2 linked regions of the Mus musculus genome follow. The protein of the gene in region 1 interacts with the protein of each later gene in a pairwise test. Links are inferred from orthologs where the notes say so. Each region holds a gene or a part of one and is shown on either strand. Other genes may lie near its edges.

Region 1 (8,267 bases):
GCCAGTGGAGAGCAGAAGGTACCCAGTCCACCTGCTTCTCTCAGGTTGTCGTTCATGGCCAGGAGCATCATTCGCAAAGCTTTGACTTCTAGATCCATGTTCATTCTGAAGAACGTTTTAACATCTGTTAATGCTTTGGTAATAATCTTTTCTACACAGGACTTTTGTAGCATGACTTTATGACTAAACTTATTGTGCATTAAATTATTTAGTAATATTGAGTTTCTGAATGTTATTTTGTGAAACTTGTTTTAAAATAGTAATAAATCATGTTATTTTATAAAAAAAAAGAAGTCCTTTGGTTACTGTATTCTAGTTAATATTAGAGTAACTTTCATGATATTTGATTTCTAAAGCAATTCAGCTTTTGAATAGTAGAATCCATGCATGTGGTGAGAGGGCCAGGGAGGAGAGAAAGGGAGAGCAACCAGGGTGCAAAGACCCTTAACTCGTATTGATTGATGATTGATTGATTGATTGATTGATTGACTGACTGACTGACTGACTGACTGACTGACTGACTGACTGACTGACTGACTGAGGCGAGGTCTCAGGTGTAGCCCTAGTTGTCGTAGAACTCACTCTGTAGACAAGGCTGTTCACAAACACAGAGATCTGCCTGCCTCTGCCTCTGCCTCTGCCTCTGCCTCTGCCTCCCAAGTGCTTGGATTAAAGGTGTGCACAGCACACAGCTGAATCAGTCTCTGCTAATTTCTTCCTCACTTAGCACTGGTGAGCATGTCCTTTGCTGACTTTCTAACTCACCCACCATTATGTGTCCACTGGAAAGAGGATTCCCACGGTCAGCAAGCTTGCCTGCCCATGATCATCCCTAGTAAAGGTTAGCCGAGAGACCCCTGAGAAACAGGGTAACCCCACAGGATCAGGAGCACCATACATTTGCCAGTGTACAGTCTGTGCTGTCAGTCAAAATGTACTTTAGTTACAGAATAAAACCGCCATGCAGTTTCTATGATCTCACTGGTCTTTGAATATACCTTTCTAAAAAAAAAATCAGAATTTAAAATTTTTTGAGCTTATAGAAAGAAAACAAATCAAATCAGTTACTTTTAATTCAGTTTTCTTGCTCAAAGGATGTGTGTCAGCATCTCAGGAGACTGAGGCAGGAGGCTAGGCAAGTTCAAGAATAGCCTAGGCTACAGAGGAAACTCAACTCAAAGAGACTGGAAAAGGGGAATGCTCACATGTTTCGTATTCCATATGAATGTATGGGCCTTACATTTAATTAAATAGTAAAATACTTTTCCTCATGGGATGCAATCAATCAGCTATATAAAGAAAGTATTCTAAACATGGTGGCACAAGCCTATATAATACCAGCCCTGGGGAACATGAGGCAGGAGATTATAAGTTCAAAACCAACCTCAGCTACATAGCAAGTTGCAGGACAGCTTCCTTTGTACAATGTGAGACTTCTAAAACAACAAACCAGAACAAGGGGCAGGCCTGCCGTACAGTGGTAAAGTGCTCGACCTGCATGCGTGTGATCTTAGCTTCACTCATTGCTACTGAAGAAAGCAATCTAGCAACCACCGAGGTGAGGTGGCATTGGCAGGACAGGGTGGGCTGGTGAGGTGTCTTGGCATGTAAAGGCTGTCACCGTAAGCTGCCAACCTGAGCTTGATCCCCCCCAGAACTACTTGGTGGAAGGACAGAGCTGATGCCTACAAGTTGTCCCGTGTCCTCCACATGTCTTTGCCCACAATCAAAGCAAGTACTATGTTCCTATGTGAAGCCAAGGATGCCGACAACATAAAAGATGCAGACTCCATCCTTGTTTTTAAGAACATATATCTAAGTGAGAGTGGTTGGTTAGCTCAGGATAGCGGAATTCGAGCTTGTATAAAAGTGTAGGAAGTCAAATCTTACGTTGAGGGACCTACGTGGTAGAAGGAGAAAATGGGTTCCTGCAAGTTGTCCTTTGACCTCCATATTCATACCATAACATATACACCAACATACATACACACAATATTTTAAAAAGAAAAATCTGGACCAACACATAAGAATATTAGCATCCACCAGCTAACAGTCACAATTAACAAATGGCAGAATGGCAGAGTCCTGTCCCCCACCCCCACCCTGCCCCGCCCCATTCTCTGCCCTGCCCCATTCACACTGGTGCATCCATGAAGCAAAACCTCAGAGATTGACAGTGCCTATTACCCCAGCTCTAGTCTCAGACCCTAAAAGAAAATTTCAGGGCATTTCCAGATTGACCCGGGAGCTCAGAGGTGGGCATCTGCAGTCACTGAAACTTATAAAATGGCTATTGGGAGACAAACACTTTGCACACAAAGTGGACTAGATCATTGTTTCTGTGCCGAAACACTGTCAGTCACACAATGACTTTAAAACAGAAAGGTTGCTAGCTAACCTAAGCCCCAATTCAATTTTTTTTATCAGATTTCATAGAAACATCTCTCTTTGGTTGTTATCTCTTGCCTTGAGGAAGTCATGTGGAAATTGAACTCACTGAAAGGTAGATGTAGTAGTGTCTGCCTAGAATCTCAGCCCCCAAGAGGTAGGCAGAAGGATCACAGGTTCAAGAGCAGTAGCCCATGCTACACAGTGAGACAGTATCTACAAGAAATAGCTAGGGGTAGTGGCTCAAACCTGTAATCCCAGGACCGCTGCAAGTTTGAGGTCAGCCTGGGCTACAGAGTGAATTTCAGGCCAGCCTCAGCTACAGAGTGGGACTGTGACAAAACAACCAAGGAACCACCCAACCAAGATGTATAGGTGACACTGCAACTTAAATTCATAGCAAGGAGGGTAATTTTTGTTTTGTTTTGTTTTGTTTTACATGAACAAAAGTCCTTGTTAGGAGAAAAATATACGGAGCTAAATTAACTGAAAAATTTTATACGTGTCAGGAAAAATGAGAATTTTCAAATTTTTATTTGTATACATCTATTCAATAACTTCAAACTTAGAACCCTTAGCGCTGACCAATTATTAAATGACTAGTCTTTGAAGTGGGGGAAGTGTAGACTGGCCACGGCCACTCCCCCTAGGACTTCTGTCTTCCACCGTGAGGAACTGATTGTGCAGCTCGGTAAAGGCCTGGTTTTTTCTAACATGCCACTTTTAGTCCGAGGATCCTTTTCAGGGAAACTGATTCCAGCGTTGAGCCGTGAGGAATTAGAAATCCGCATTTTTCAAGATGAGTAATATCTTCTAATAGAATCACATTCTTTCCATCGATACAAATTGGGAACAATTTACAGTAAAACCATCCACAGTGTTAGTAACAAACACAAGAGTTTGTACTGTACAGTCTGTGAACCTGGTGCGCGGTTAGCATCAGAACCTGCAGCTTCGCAACCACCTTGACAGGAAGTGTCACAGCTTCACGTTTGTGCACAGCTGTCAGAGATGTCGCCAGGAGGGCTGGCATCAAGCATTCACTTTAGGCAGTAAGGACCACCTTTACCGTTGCAGCTCCTGACAATCACACACTTCTGTGAATGTTACAGGAATATGCGGGCCTGACTTCCCCATCCCATCCCTCAGGAAACAAAACCAAGCCAGGAGGAGGCTGGGTGCTTGCTTTGAGTGGCAGGCTTACTAAAACGTCACAGGTATATCAAAAGCAGCCTGGCCAGTCCTAGGACTCAGAAGTGCCCCTCCAGGCCTAGCTGCAAGAGGGCGGCCTCGGCCTCCTCCTCCTCCTTCTTGGCTTCCTCCTCTCGAATCTGCACCAGTAACTGGAAGAGGTTGGGTGCAGGCCCTTCCTCAGCCCCGGCCAGCCACAACTGCCTTCGGAGGGCCCCACTGTGGTTAGCCCCAGCGATGACCTGCTCCAAGCGAGCCTGGTTCACGTTATCTTTATCAATGACCCCCTTGTCTACTACCTTTTGCAGCAGAGGCTCCAGACGGATAACATACGAAGATAACTTTTCTCCTGGGTTCTGGTAAGTGTTCAGAAATCTGACCTGTGCATCTCTAGAGCTCTCCACACTCCCAAAGACCTGCTCAAGAGCCTTCAGGCATTCTGCGGTCGTTATGGCGGCGTTGTTGGTCTTGAGGATGCGGATGACGTCAGCAGCGGGGCCTCTCAAACTCTCCATCAACCGCCGTCTCTTTTCTATATCCGACACCTGCCATTCCTCTATGATTTCATTTGAGTGCTCCAGCCAGGAATCAAAGGTTTCCTCGCCAGGCCCGGGAATGTCCTTCCCGGAGAATAACGTCAGCTTCTTATACCATATGGACTCAACAAGAGGTTGAATAACATTATCCAAAATATAGTTGAGCATCTCTGCTGGCATTTCCGGGCCTGGAGCTGGAGCAGGGTTCTGAAACCCAAGCACACGAGCAACATCTTGCACGGTCCACCCTTCCCTAGCTAGAAAGAGGTGCAGCCTTTCCAAAAAAACTGCGTCGGAAGTGGGGGGTTTAAACACCACTTTCCAGAGCCCTCCTTTGCCTGGCATCTCCCTGGGTATCAGGGAGTAATCCACTGCCCCAGTGAGCTCTAACAAGGCTGCTTTAGCATTTTCTTCCCTCCAGAACATTCTCCCCAGCACTCGATAGGATACCTGGGGCATCGCAGCTTGGAGGGTCTCTTCAATTTCGGTCTCATCACAGTTCACAGGGATCCCCCAGACCAACAGAGCTCTCTGAGAGTTCACATCCATTCCCCTGCACCAGTCTTCCAATAGTGTCATAGCCATTTCACCCAACTATTAAAAGTGCCAGTTCTACAGACACTGCTTGGACTGGCTCACGAGGCTATAGGGCCTAGGACAATACAACATGCTCTCCTCCCCCGGTAGGCCAGGGGGCGACAAGCTTCAGGCAACCACAATTACCAAAAGACACCAGAGTTCCTTCTTGTCCCTTCCGGGTCCCAAGTCAGGGTCGGGAGCCACGGGACACTCCGCCTATCACTCGAATGTCGCCCCCTTTGGTCCGGGCAGGGAGGGCTGAACTGGCTGCAGCTGTGTCTGGCGTCACCGCTTAAAGAGAGGGAGCAAGGTGGGCTCAAGACTGATGACTCCGGGCGGGAGATGGCTGGGTGCGGTCGCGGGGCGTGGCAGCTCCTCCCACCTCTCCCCGGCACGCCGGCGGGCTGAGGGTCACGCGAGGCCGTGGCTTGGCTACGTGGGGAGAGGCGGCACTCCGAGCACCGGGAACCCAAGCGGCAGGAAGCACGGGATGGGGGAGAAACTCGGCTGGAGGCAGCTCTGCCTAGCGCTTATGTCCGCGCGCTCCCGCAACGGCCGGCGTGCAGCTGCAGTGGAGGGCGGAACCGGTCCGCTTGTCTCCCCCAGTGTCACCGTGACAACTGTGTCCATGACGACGCGAGATACGCGGGCTCCAGAGGATCTGGCGGTTGCTATGGTGCCAAGAAGGGGTTTGAGGAGTCTATTCTATGACGGCGCATTTCTTTTTACACCCCCCCCCCCGCCTTCCCTGATTCTTTCTTAGCTATTGCTACGCATGCTTTATTTAATTTTGCCGTGGATTTAAGCTGGCTTTATTGATACGCATCTACCACGACGGACTTATCTCATATTGCTCATCCATTCTATGAATTCAGTCTTTAACTCTGACTTCCGGGAACCACCTGATCCCACTCTGCAACTACTTGGTTCCTCCCCACAAAACTAGGAAAGAGAATTCCATCTACTGGTTCCTGTGAGTGTCTGACTTGGCTTTCTTGTTTAAAGTGTGTGTGTGTGTGTGTGTGTGTGTGTGTGTGTGTGTGTACACAAAACCCCGTGACTACTTACCTTTGTAGCCAGGCAAACTGCAAACATATTGCCTTCTTATCCTTACTGAGTATACAAGATAGCAAAACAGAATGTTTATGGCCCCGAAAAGGCGGGTAAGTTCTCTTCAAGCAAAACAAGGCCTATCAGTCCCAGACGGCAAAAACACCCCTATAAGAATGTGGTATTCAACAATGAATTTTTTTTAAAACCTTATTTAATAAAAGGTCTTAAGATACAGAACATTCAAAAGTAAATAAGTTACATAGGTACATTACAATCACAGCAAGATTCTCTTTAGTGTATTAATTTTTTTTTTATAAAAAGCACACAAAAAATAAAATTTTCAGTCTGGTCTATCACAACTGTACACAAAGAGGTAATATTTATATTTATATATATATATATATGTACACTATTTTAATATGTAACAGTCTTTTTTAAAAAGAGTGCCACAGGCAACAAACACATGAAAGGCAGTGTCTGACCATTTTGTTTCAAAATAAAAGGAATATACTTACTTTATGCTATTAAAATATTTGTACACTAATTACAGACTGTCAAGGCTGTTCTGTGCTCCATCCTCTCCAGCAAGGCCTTTAACGTAAGAGACAAATGAGGAAAAGTTCTAACAGCTGCAATTTTTTTTTTTTTGAGGCAACAAACACAGCCAAATGTGGGTTAGACACAACTGTTTTTATATAAAAATATGCATACTTCCTGTAAAAACCTAAGGGGTTAGGCTTTGCCAGTCTAGTAATAAATAATAACCCAGAACAGTGAGCCCCAATAAAAACATTTCAACAGCTGAGGCTTGAGTACTATTGCACTCTTCCTCCTCTGTCTTTAACATCTGGCACATGAGAAGAAAGAGGTTGGGTGACTGAGGCAGTTAAATATAGGCAATCCCTTTAGACATCATGAGCACAGGGCCTCTGTGCCGGGGTGGGAGGTGGGGCGGCAAGGACGGTGGGTGGGTGGGTACTTTAGCTCTAAGGGGGCTGCTGAAGGCTTGGAGGACAGCAGTGAGGGCAAGAGACCTCAGAGATGGCCCAGAACACAGGCACGGTCAGTGTCATGGCCTTCTCTGAATGCAGGTGGAAGCTGGGGGACAGGCAGGGTGACACTGTATAGGGACGTTATTGTCAAACAGGGAGCTCTGAATAGAAAGAACAACAAAAGCCAAGCCCAGTGTGTTCGTACGAGAAAGCACCAGTAAGGACGCGCCTGCGCCAGCCTCCGGCCGCACGTGCATCTCCGCTTTGAACTAGTTCAGTTTCCACACGGGCGCGCTGGAGCATGGGCCCCTCTAAAACAGTGTCTGGTGGGATCACTACCTAAAGGTACCATCTTTATCCCCCCACCCCCACCCCGGCTATAGTCATCTGGTCTCTGTGAACTTAGAAAAGTTCTTGCTTTTTTGCTGTTTTTAATTAAGATTTCTAAGGATTAGTTGGTACCACTGAGCAGAGGAGTCTCATGTGGCTGAAGGATCTCATGTGGCTGCTATCACCTGTCCACCAAGGGGCCTGAGCCAGATATGGTTTAAATAGAAAAGAACCTTGGGAAACCTAAGTGGCACTTTGGGGCTGAGCTGTGAAGGCACGCGTTATAGAAGTGATTTAGAAGAGATCCTAAACTTGTTGCCCTCCTGCTTCTAGAGGGTACCACATTTTTGTAATCCCGGGACTTCGAGCTGATAGAAGCCTATGAAGGAAACAAACCGGGGAAACTGAAGGTTAAGGTAACTGTCTAGGTATCTAGGGGGACAGGTTTGTTATTTCCACCCGCAGCTCTCTCATAGAACCATACTAATGTGTAAATGAATGTAAGAAATACCCAATAGTCTACAGCTTCAAAACAAAACCCCATCTCTATTTCCAATTCCCAACGGGCTGTAGGCTATTTCCGCTCCTTACTAACATTCTAAACAGTCAGACACACGGTCACTTAAGACTCTCTTTTGTACAACTAAAATTAAGTGATGATATCAGAAAAGTGGCTTTAGGCCCCTACTGAACTGGAAAGCGAAGGGGACTCTAGAACATTCCAACCCTTCAGTAATTCCAAGCCAAATATGGTTTCTTCAAGCCAGAATCGAGGCTGATAACCAAAACTAGAATTCTGGCCTCTTGCCAACTCCCTCGAGCATTTGAAAGTACAGAAAAGGCAGGACAGAGACCTGCCTTTGACCTCACCCACATCTGCTGGCTTCCTGTGACTGATAACACTCCCCGCCTTCCCAGCCCGATCAGTTTCTGTCATTCCTGCGGCCAAGAGCCACAAGGTAAGGGACCCCAGGGCCATGGAACTGGGGGAGGGCTTGGGGATGCCAAAAAGGTGCCTTATTTTGGGATAAATGCACTTGGACCTCTGGAAAGCAAGAGGCCCCTGGTCCCTGAGGATGTTAAAACTTAAATATTAAAAAAAATAAATAAATAGTTCCCAAATGACAACAAGCCACAGAATGAAGGCTCCTGTCTAATCTAGTTAGGAGACATCACCCTCCCAGGGAAGAATCCAGCA
Region 2 (8,267 bases), on another chromosome or scaffold:
ACTGGAAGAATTTTCAGTTGAAGAACTCTGTAGGCTCACCACCTGATCCTAGCTAGCACTATTCTCCACACTAAAGTCCTGATGCTAATTAACTGTAAAAAACATCTCTCAGGTCTAAATAGATAGTAATCTTCTTTTAAAGAATTTGTAAAAGTAGGTAACCTTTTAATTTCCAACTTACAGCTCCCGTTGGTTTTGATGAAGAAGAGTGTACTTCCCTATGTTTAACTATGATCAGGTAAAAATGAGATGTACTAAGGAGTAACTTACGCTTCTGACTGCTGTATAGACCTTAAATATCCACATATCTCAAAAGCGAGTGGAGGAATTGATCTAACCCGACTCAATTTTTAAAGAAACAGGGACTAATGTTCTAAACATGCACATATTTTAGTTTATAGTTACTAAAAACATGCCCATCTCAATACATTTCTAGATGTCATGACTGTAATGATTGAAAATGTTAGGCCCAGGGAAGTCTGAAGGTTCGGCATTACCCATAATCCACGGGGGAGGGGGAGCCACCCTCCATGCCCTCCTTCCTTTCAGGAATGTCTTGCAGCCAGCCAGCCCAACACCACAGTTCTGGGCAGAAGCATGCTGATATTGGCACTGCCTAAACCAAACAAACAAGATGTTTAACAGTCAAATAAAATGTCCTGCAGTCTCCCTAATGAATTTGTCAGGGACCATCAGATTTCACTCCCCCTCCTTTGCCTCATTAACTCAAGTATGATGAGACGGATTATAACAAGAGAATACAGATCAATCGGTCTGAAGACTTGAAGTGGCTTTTAGCCTCTAGAGTTTCTTTCTCTCTTGGTCTCCTTAATAGAACACCGCATCTCCTGCAGAAGGAGCTGCCACTTCGTTTTAATACACCATCAAGGAGCTGCTGATGGACTTCTACACCAACATACATAAAAGCAGAGGTGACAGGGGCTCTTCAATTATAGCCTCCTCAGATACCGTTTCCCCCTTCAATTATTCAACCAGGGATAGGAGCCGCAAACAGCAGAAGCTGCCTGCTCTCAGCCAAGGCAGTGGAGAGAGGTAAGGGGGAGGGGTGCAGTGTTTGCTGGAAGTGTTTAAGTTTATTGCTCGAATGATGTTTCTAATTAGCACCACAGCGATAAATTAAAGTCGCCTTTGTTTAACTGATTTATTATTTACTAGAGCATCTACCTTAGACAGGGTAAATTGGTAATGAATTGTTTTTAAATCAAAACATTTGTAACGTTTTATCATCCTTGCCTCTAGGAAGAGAAGTGGAGAAACGGTGGACAAGGGTGTGAGGAAACTTGCTCAAGCTGGCAGAGGTGAATGCAGTGGGTGCGCGTGTCCTGTAGCTTGAAGACGTGGCAGGCCGAGCTGAGACAGCCAGAATTACAAGGGTTCGCACAGGCGTCTCTGGCCACATGCATGCTGCAGATCTGGCCCCTGGAGGATGTGGAGGAACTCTGCACCTGGGCCTTGCCACCAGTCCCCGCCCGCCCAGCACTGCCTGTGGGATTTGTTCCAAGCTTCTTTTCCCTGTGGTCCCATACTCCACGGGAGTACACCCCTCTGGCCTGTAACACCTCCAAGGCAGGGACTATAGAACGCACTAGTTACCCGGCTACATGGCATGGTCTGGGTCCTGCAGCACCAAAGCCTCCCTGACCAGCGGGAAACCGCTGGCCGCAGCTAGCCGCCTAGTAGTGCATTCACTCTTAGGAACGCCCATGAAACTACTGTCCCAGAGGCTCTCTGATGCTTACTTTGCAAGGTTCTTCCCAACTCCTCGCTACTTAAAACGGCCCCCAAGCGATAAATCCCGCTTGGTTTAAAAAAGAAAAACCCAAATACTCTTTAGAAAGGAGCTTTAGCATCAAGGTGGAGGCGGGTCAAGTCTCCAGCCCTCCGGACCACCAAAGACTAAGAACGAATGAAGGGGTAGGGATCCAAGCATCTCATGCCCAGTAGAAAGAAACATTAGCTCTCTCGGTAGCAACTGAATTCAGGTTCTGGTAGGTTTCAAAAAATGCAAGTCAAGCTCTCCTACGGGGTTTTACAAAAGTTATACACAGCTTTTTAAAAAAAAAAAAAAACGGGCTAAAGATTTTATTTTCCCTATGCATAACCCACGGCTTAAATATTATCTGCCAAATCAACCTAAAAATAGCCCTTAACTACCTGAGTGTATTAAAACAACTGAGAGCCCTGGCATCTTAAATTCTGAGATAAACTCCCAGTAGCAAGTGAATCACCTTGCTGCAGCCCTTGTTTTTCCAAAAGTCCTACGAGGCAGCAATCACACAGCTTGTTAAGGATAACACATATTCTAAGGAACAAGAGCGACTGAGTTTTAGTGGGATGCAGGGGAGGAGGAAGGCCATCTGGGTAATCAATAACAGTAAAGTTATAGATTTTTATCCCAGTCAACTCCTTTAAAAGCAAGAATCAATTATGAAAATAAAATTATTCTAAACCAGTACTGCCCAAGAATATGTTCACAATTAACGTCACAGTATTTAAAAAATTAAGAAAACCTGAATTCAGGCTCATTTTTTTCCTTCATTTTAATTTAAGTCTAAACTATTTTGGTAGCTTATTTCAATCAGCAAGTATAACCAAGTAATGTATGCTAATATATAAACTTACAGTTTCTCAAAACTCACATATTTTCTCTCTAGTTATTGGTAAATTCCTATAAGAGTAAAATAATGACACAAAGATAGCTAAATCTAAATTATGAAATAAGGATCAAAAACATATCTGGAGTAGTTTTTGTCCTGTTCTGTATTTTTAACAGCATATGGAAATTACTAACAAGAGATTTATGGTTATAGACTGTCATCCTATCCCCTCCTTTACACATACACAGCAATTCTCCAGCTCTTGGCAACAATGGGATGGGAGGGAAAGAGAAGGGGGGGGGGACTACAAAATTTAAGTCCTTTCTTAAGCTCCCCTTCCTGCTCTCATTTGCCTTCAAGCCAAAGACAGTTTGTTAGAGTCTGCACCTTCTGCAGAATGTTCAGAGACTTAAAACCAAAAGTGAAGCTCACTGAAAGCACTACTACTTTGCAGGAATTGATCCAGCCATACCCAGAGAAGAATCCCTTCTATGAAGACTCTCCTCCTCACTGCAACGGTAAGAAAAGAGGATAAAAAAGAAAATGGGACTATGAAACGAGTGAGAGCATTTGGCTTCTGTCTAGTCCCATTTTCTCACCCCCCACGCCCCCTTTATCAAGTGCAGTGTGGTGGCTGCTGAGGTCCCAAGCTTGTCCTCTCTCTCTCTTTCTCTCGGATTGGCTAAAGCACTGACAGCTTGCATAGGGATTGTAGGAACTGAAGCTCCACCCCTTCACGGTGGCCCAGAACCATTCATAAACTAAGGAGAGAGAGAGAGAGAGAGAGAGAGAGAGAGAGAGAGAGAGAGAGAGAGAGAGAGAGAGAGAGAGAGAGAAGTGTGGGGGGCAGGTATCAGAGGACAGGGGGATGAGGTAGAGACTGCAAACGCAACCCAGAGGAGAGGAAAAACCCGGACTCCTTAGACCTGCACACCAGATACAACGTAAGCAACGATTTAGTCACACTAAAATAGATTTTGCTAGGGCCAAAAGTATAAATAACGAGGCAGAAAAGAATATCAAACAACTTGCAGCAGTTTGCACCTAGAGAAAGGCAGGAAGAACCCACCACAAACAAACCAACCCAATCCAAACAACGCCTCCAGTAGGAAGCCAGGAAAACTGCTACGACACAACCCCCTGAGAAGAGAGGAGACTAGCACGCTGAGACCGCGCGGGGCGTCTGCAAACCTCAGAGTGCGCTGCGGCCTGAGCTGTACTTCGCTGCTCTCCGGGCATTAATTACATCCTTCACTTTCCTTTTGGGGGAGGGTAAGGAAGGCATCACCTACGCTGAGCGAAGGCGTCCAACCATCGAGGGAGAAGTTTCAGAATGAACCACTGAATGTTTTTGTCTTATTTTTAAATTTACTTTGGCACTTATAAGACTTCATTTCCAGATATCTGGGCAATCGTGGCTGCTGCGGACATCTAAGCCTAGCCTCTTGGTAACCTAGTTTTTTCTCTCTCACGATTTCATCCATCTCTCCCGCACAAGGAGAGGCTCGTCTTTATTTTTGCAGGTACTTTCCCCCCTAAATAATATTATTTCTAATTTTCTGCGGAAGAAAGAAAAGAAAATTCCAAAGAGGGAAAAGAAAAGGCCAGCCGGCTATATCATCAGCCGGTCAGCCCAGGTGGAAAGCAAGAGTGAAATTGGGGCTTCAGGGGGAACGCACCGCCTTTCCACAGCCGCAGGGCCACCACCAGTGCGTGAGCCTTGGATCCCTCAACGTATTGCGAGACGCCGGTGTACAGCCCGGACCTGTGCCCCAACATGATCGCCGCTCAGGCCAAGCTGGTTTACCAGCTCAATAAATACTACACCGAGCGCTGCCAGGCGCGCAAGGCTGCGATCGCCAAGACCATCCGAGAAGTCTGCAAGGTAGTGTCGGATGTGCTAAAGGAAGTGGAGGTGCAAGAGCCCCGCTTCATCAGCTCTCTGAGTGAGATTGACGCCCGCTACGAGGGGCTGGAGGTAATCTCGCCCACCGAGTTCGAGGTGGTACTCTACCTCAACCAGATGGGAGTCTTCAACTTCGTGGACGACGGATCTCTGCCCGGCTGTGCCGTGCTCAAACTAAGCGATGGGCGGAAGCGGAGCATGTCTCTTTGGGTCGAGTTCATCACAGCGTCTGGCTACCTTTCTGCGCGCAAGATCCGCTCGCGTTTCCAGACACTAGTAGCCCAGGCGGTGGACAAGTGCAGCTACCGGGACGTGGTCAAGATGATCGCCGACACTAGTGAGGTCAAGTTGCGCATCAGGGAGCGCTACGTGGTGCAAATCACCCCAGCGTTCAAGTGCACCGGGATCTGGCCTCGCAGCGCGGCACAGTGGCCTATGCCCCACATCCCCTGGCCCGGCCCCAATCGGGTGGCGGAGGTCAAGGCCGAAGGGTTCAACTTGCTCTCCAAGGAGTGCTACTCGCTGACTGGCAAGCAGAGCTCCGCAGAAAGCGACGCCTGGGTGCTGCAGTTCGGTGAGGCGGAGAACCGCTTGCTGATGGGCGGCTGTAGAAACAAGTGCCTCTCGGTGCTGAAGACGCTGCGGGACCGCCACCTGGAGCTGCCTGGCCAGCCGCTCAATAACTACCACATGAAGACGCTGCTGCTGTACGAGTGCGAGAAACACCCGAGGGAAACGGACTGGGACGAGGCTTGCTTGGGCGACCGTCTGAACGGCATCCTGCTACAGCTCATCTCCTGCCTGCAGTGCCGCCGCTGCCCTCACTACTTTTTGCCCAACCTCGACCTCTTCCAGGGTAAGCCCCACTCGGCCCTGGAGAGCGCTGCCAAGCAGACCTGGAGATTGGCCAGGGAAATCCTCACCAATCCCAAAAGCTTGGACAAACTATAGAGTGCTGCCGACTGCGTGGAAAGCAACATAAATGGGCATGCTCTCCCAGAACACACAACAACAGCAAAAACTCGAAACACAAACTTTTATGTAAATCACCTGAAAGAACGGGAGTAGGCAGAAGACATCCTAATTAAGAAGCAAACAAAAGAGGGCAAACCAACCAACCCCCCCACCCCAAAAATAACATTCTTGCACAAAAATGATCGTTTCCTTCCAAACAATGTGAATTTAAAGATCGCACAAAAGAAGCAATCCGGCTTTGCGAACACAAAATGAAACCCAAGGTACATTTTTCAAATCAATGTATAGTAGCTTCCCTTCTTTTCCTTCTTTACGCCCGCCCCTCCTTGTTTTGGGTTGCTTGCGTGATTGTCACCAAGTGAAAATAATTATTTAACTATATGTGAAATTTCTTTTACAAAGTTTTACTGATGTGAAATGTGTCTCAGTGCCAATGTCAATGTGCCCCTGCCTCCTCCTTTTGCACCCCTAACCCCCGCCCTAAAATGTCTTGTTGAAACCAGTAAACCAGTAATAAAAATATTACTTTACATTGTAATTGGCTGCTTGCGGATTGTTCTTGAATGAAGGCAGATGAGATCACTTTCTAACTTACAAGATGTGAACTTGAACTAAATACAGGAAGCTTCCATTTGAACTCTGATTTGCAAACTTTAAAATACAGCATATTCTGGAGAATTAATTATATAAATCTCCCCCAAAATCCTTAGTAAAAAGTAAAATAAGTATTTTACTCAATATAACACATATTTTATGTTAATAGCAATATTTAAAAAAGAAAAGTGTGAAACAATATATTGTTAATCCTAAAATTTAAAATAATAAAAAAGCCTATTTAAAATTATATCAGGATTTTTTTAATGCTGTAAGGTTTTTTAAAATCTAGTTCTAAATGTTTTTAAAATTGCTTTTAAAGAATGAAGTCATGTCATGCTCTTTCTTCAACTATTCTTTTTAAGTTTCAACTAGTAATAATAAATAAAATTAGCAAGAAAATCAAAGACACCAAAAATAATAAAATAGTCACTGCAATATTTCTCTCCTCTAGCAACTGGTAATATGAACAATTCAGATTTATAACTACTTTGGTTTTTTAATGATTTAGTTATGAATGCAATAAACAGTATCATTTTAATTAAATTTCAAAAATTATTTTGAATCTACCTATATATAAAGGTCTTAAAACTATTTTATGACCTAAATAATTACTCCAAAAATTTAGAAATAGGAAAAGCACCTTCCATATTCTGCTTTCTCAGGTAACAATCCCATAGACTCATTTCAATGTTTCAACTCTGATAAGATTTCTTTTACATGCAATAAAATAACTGTTTGGAATAAAAAATAATTAGGAAAACTGAAAATATCCTAAAGAAACTGGTTTGTTTTCTGGCCAAAGGACAAGATTTGACCATGTGAAGTAAAGGAACAGAATATGTTAAATACTACCTCTAATATTTAAATTTTATTTTTTAAATTCATCTATTTTTTAATCTATAAGTGAAAGATATAGAAGAAAATGTTGTACAAGGCAGTATTCAGAGGAGAAGTCTGGGTGGGGGAGGGGCGCGTGGGGCTAAGAACAGGAGGACTAAGATTACTGAGCCCTGGGAAGCTCCCAGGGCTCTGAAGCACCAGGTCACTTGACAGAACAGGCATAAGCTCAGGCTGCCCTGGGAAAAGTAATTCTGTGTCAAAAATATAAGCTTAGGGGCTACCTACTTTGAAAATACCTTTGACCTTTCAATGTACTTAGTACCGGGTGTGTGTCTGTGTGTGTGTGTGTCTGTGTGTGTGTGTATGTTGTGTCTTCTTGTAAAAATAAAAACAAACTCATTAATTCAGTGCACTCACTAATTATTTTGAACAATAAAACAATTTATCCTCTTAAGGAGAAGGTCTGAATTTTAAGAAAATTTTCAAAGGAGTATGTTTGAAAATATAAAGCAATAGCTACTCAGAGGTGTACACAAATCATTTAAAGCACAGTATTTGGTGTAAAAGGTTAAAATGCTTTCTTAAAAAATGACTCATGCACAAGAAAAAGCATGTGTAGCACGGAACAGCGCTTCTTCCAACTACTTATGAAAAAGTTACTAAGTATTGACAAGAAAAAACAACCCAATTTGATATCCTCACATCCTTATTTAATGCAAGTTTTAAAAAAGGTTTTAATGTTAAAAATGTAGTCAAGAAAAGTGTTTACAATAAAAATATCTTTTAGCATTAATGTCAATATTAAATCAAATATTCTATCAATAATTTGCTGAAGTTAATTTCAAATATGTTGATGTCTGGAGAACTAGGAAGGTTTCAGTACAAGACAAATTTCATGATTAAGGTAAAATATCTTATGTTTTACAAGCAACAGAGAAAGAAAACTAATGTAATTATGCTACAGAAAGACAAAAAAAACTTAAAAGCTACAGCTTCCTATAAAAGAACAAATAGCTTCAAAGAACCTGTTCTCAAAGGCTGACAAAGATCTTAATTTTGAAAAAAGTTTTTAAACACCATTGATTAGATTTTAGACTTTAAACTATGTCCCAAAAGTAAAGTATTCTGAATGAAGTCTCAGTCTCTCTGAAGTTCTGAAGCGTCAGGAATCAGAGTTTAAATAATTTTGGTAGCCTTTCATAATGAATTTATAATATATTTTCATATACTTTAGCCATGAGACAAAGTAGAAAACATTTTGAGGTGATAAAAGTTCAGAATTCAAGTTTTCTCTGTACCAGAGTCACTAATTTATCTAACTGTAACTAACC

What was found. The genes of interacting proteins can lie anywhere in the genome.
Region 2: the proteins of Pnma1 (region 1) and Mab21l2 interact in binary tests that used the Homo sapiens proteins (3 or more experiments, as listed by UniProt). The two-hybrid records come from large-scale screens. The link is inferred for Mus musculus from reciprocal best matches to the Homo sapiens genes PNMA1 and MAB21L2.

Annotation. Positions count from the first base shown.
Region 1 is NC_000078.6:84,143,228-84,151,494, forward strand, and holds Pnma1 (paraneoplastic antigen Ma1 homolog), read right to left. Parts: upstream 5,263-8,267; 5' UTR 4,701-5,262; coding exon 3,639-4,700; 3' UTR 2,904-3,638; downstream 1-2,903.
Region 2 is NC_000069.6:86,543,820-86,552,086, reverse strand, and holds Mab21l2 (protein mab-21-like 2), read left to right. Parts: upstream 1-3,803; 5' UTR 3,804-4,395; coding exon 4,396-5,475; 3' UTR 5,476-6,037; downstream 6,038-8,267. UniProt on the Homo sapiens protein: Required for several aspects of embryonic development including normal development of the eye.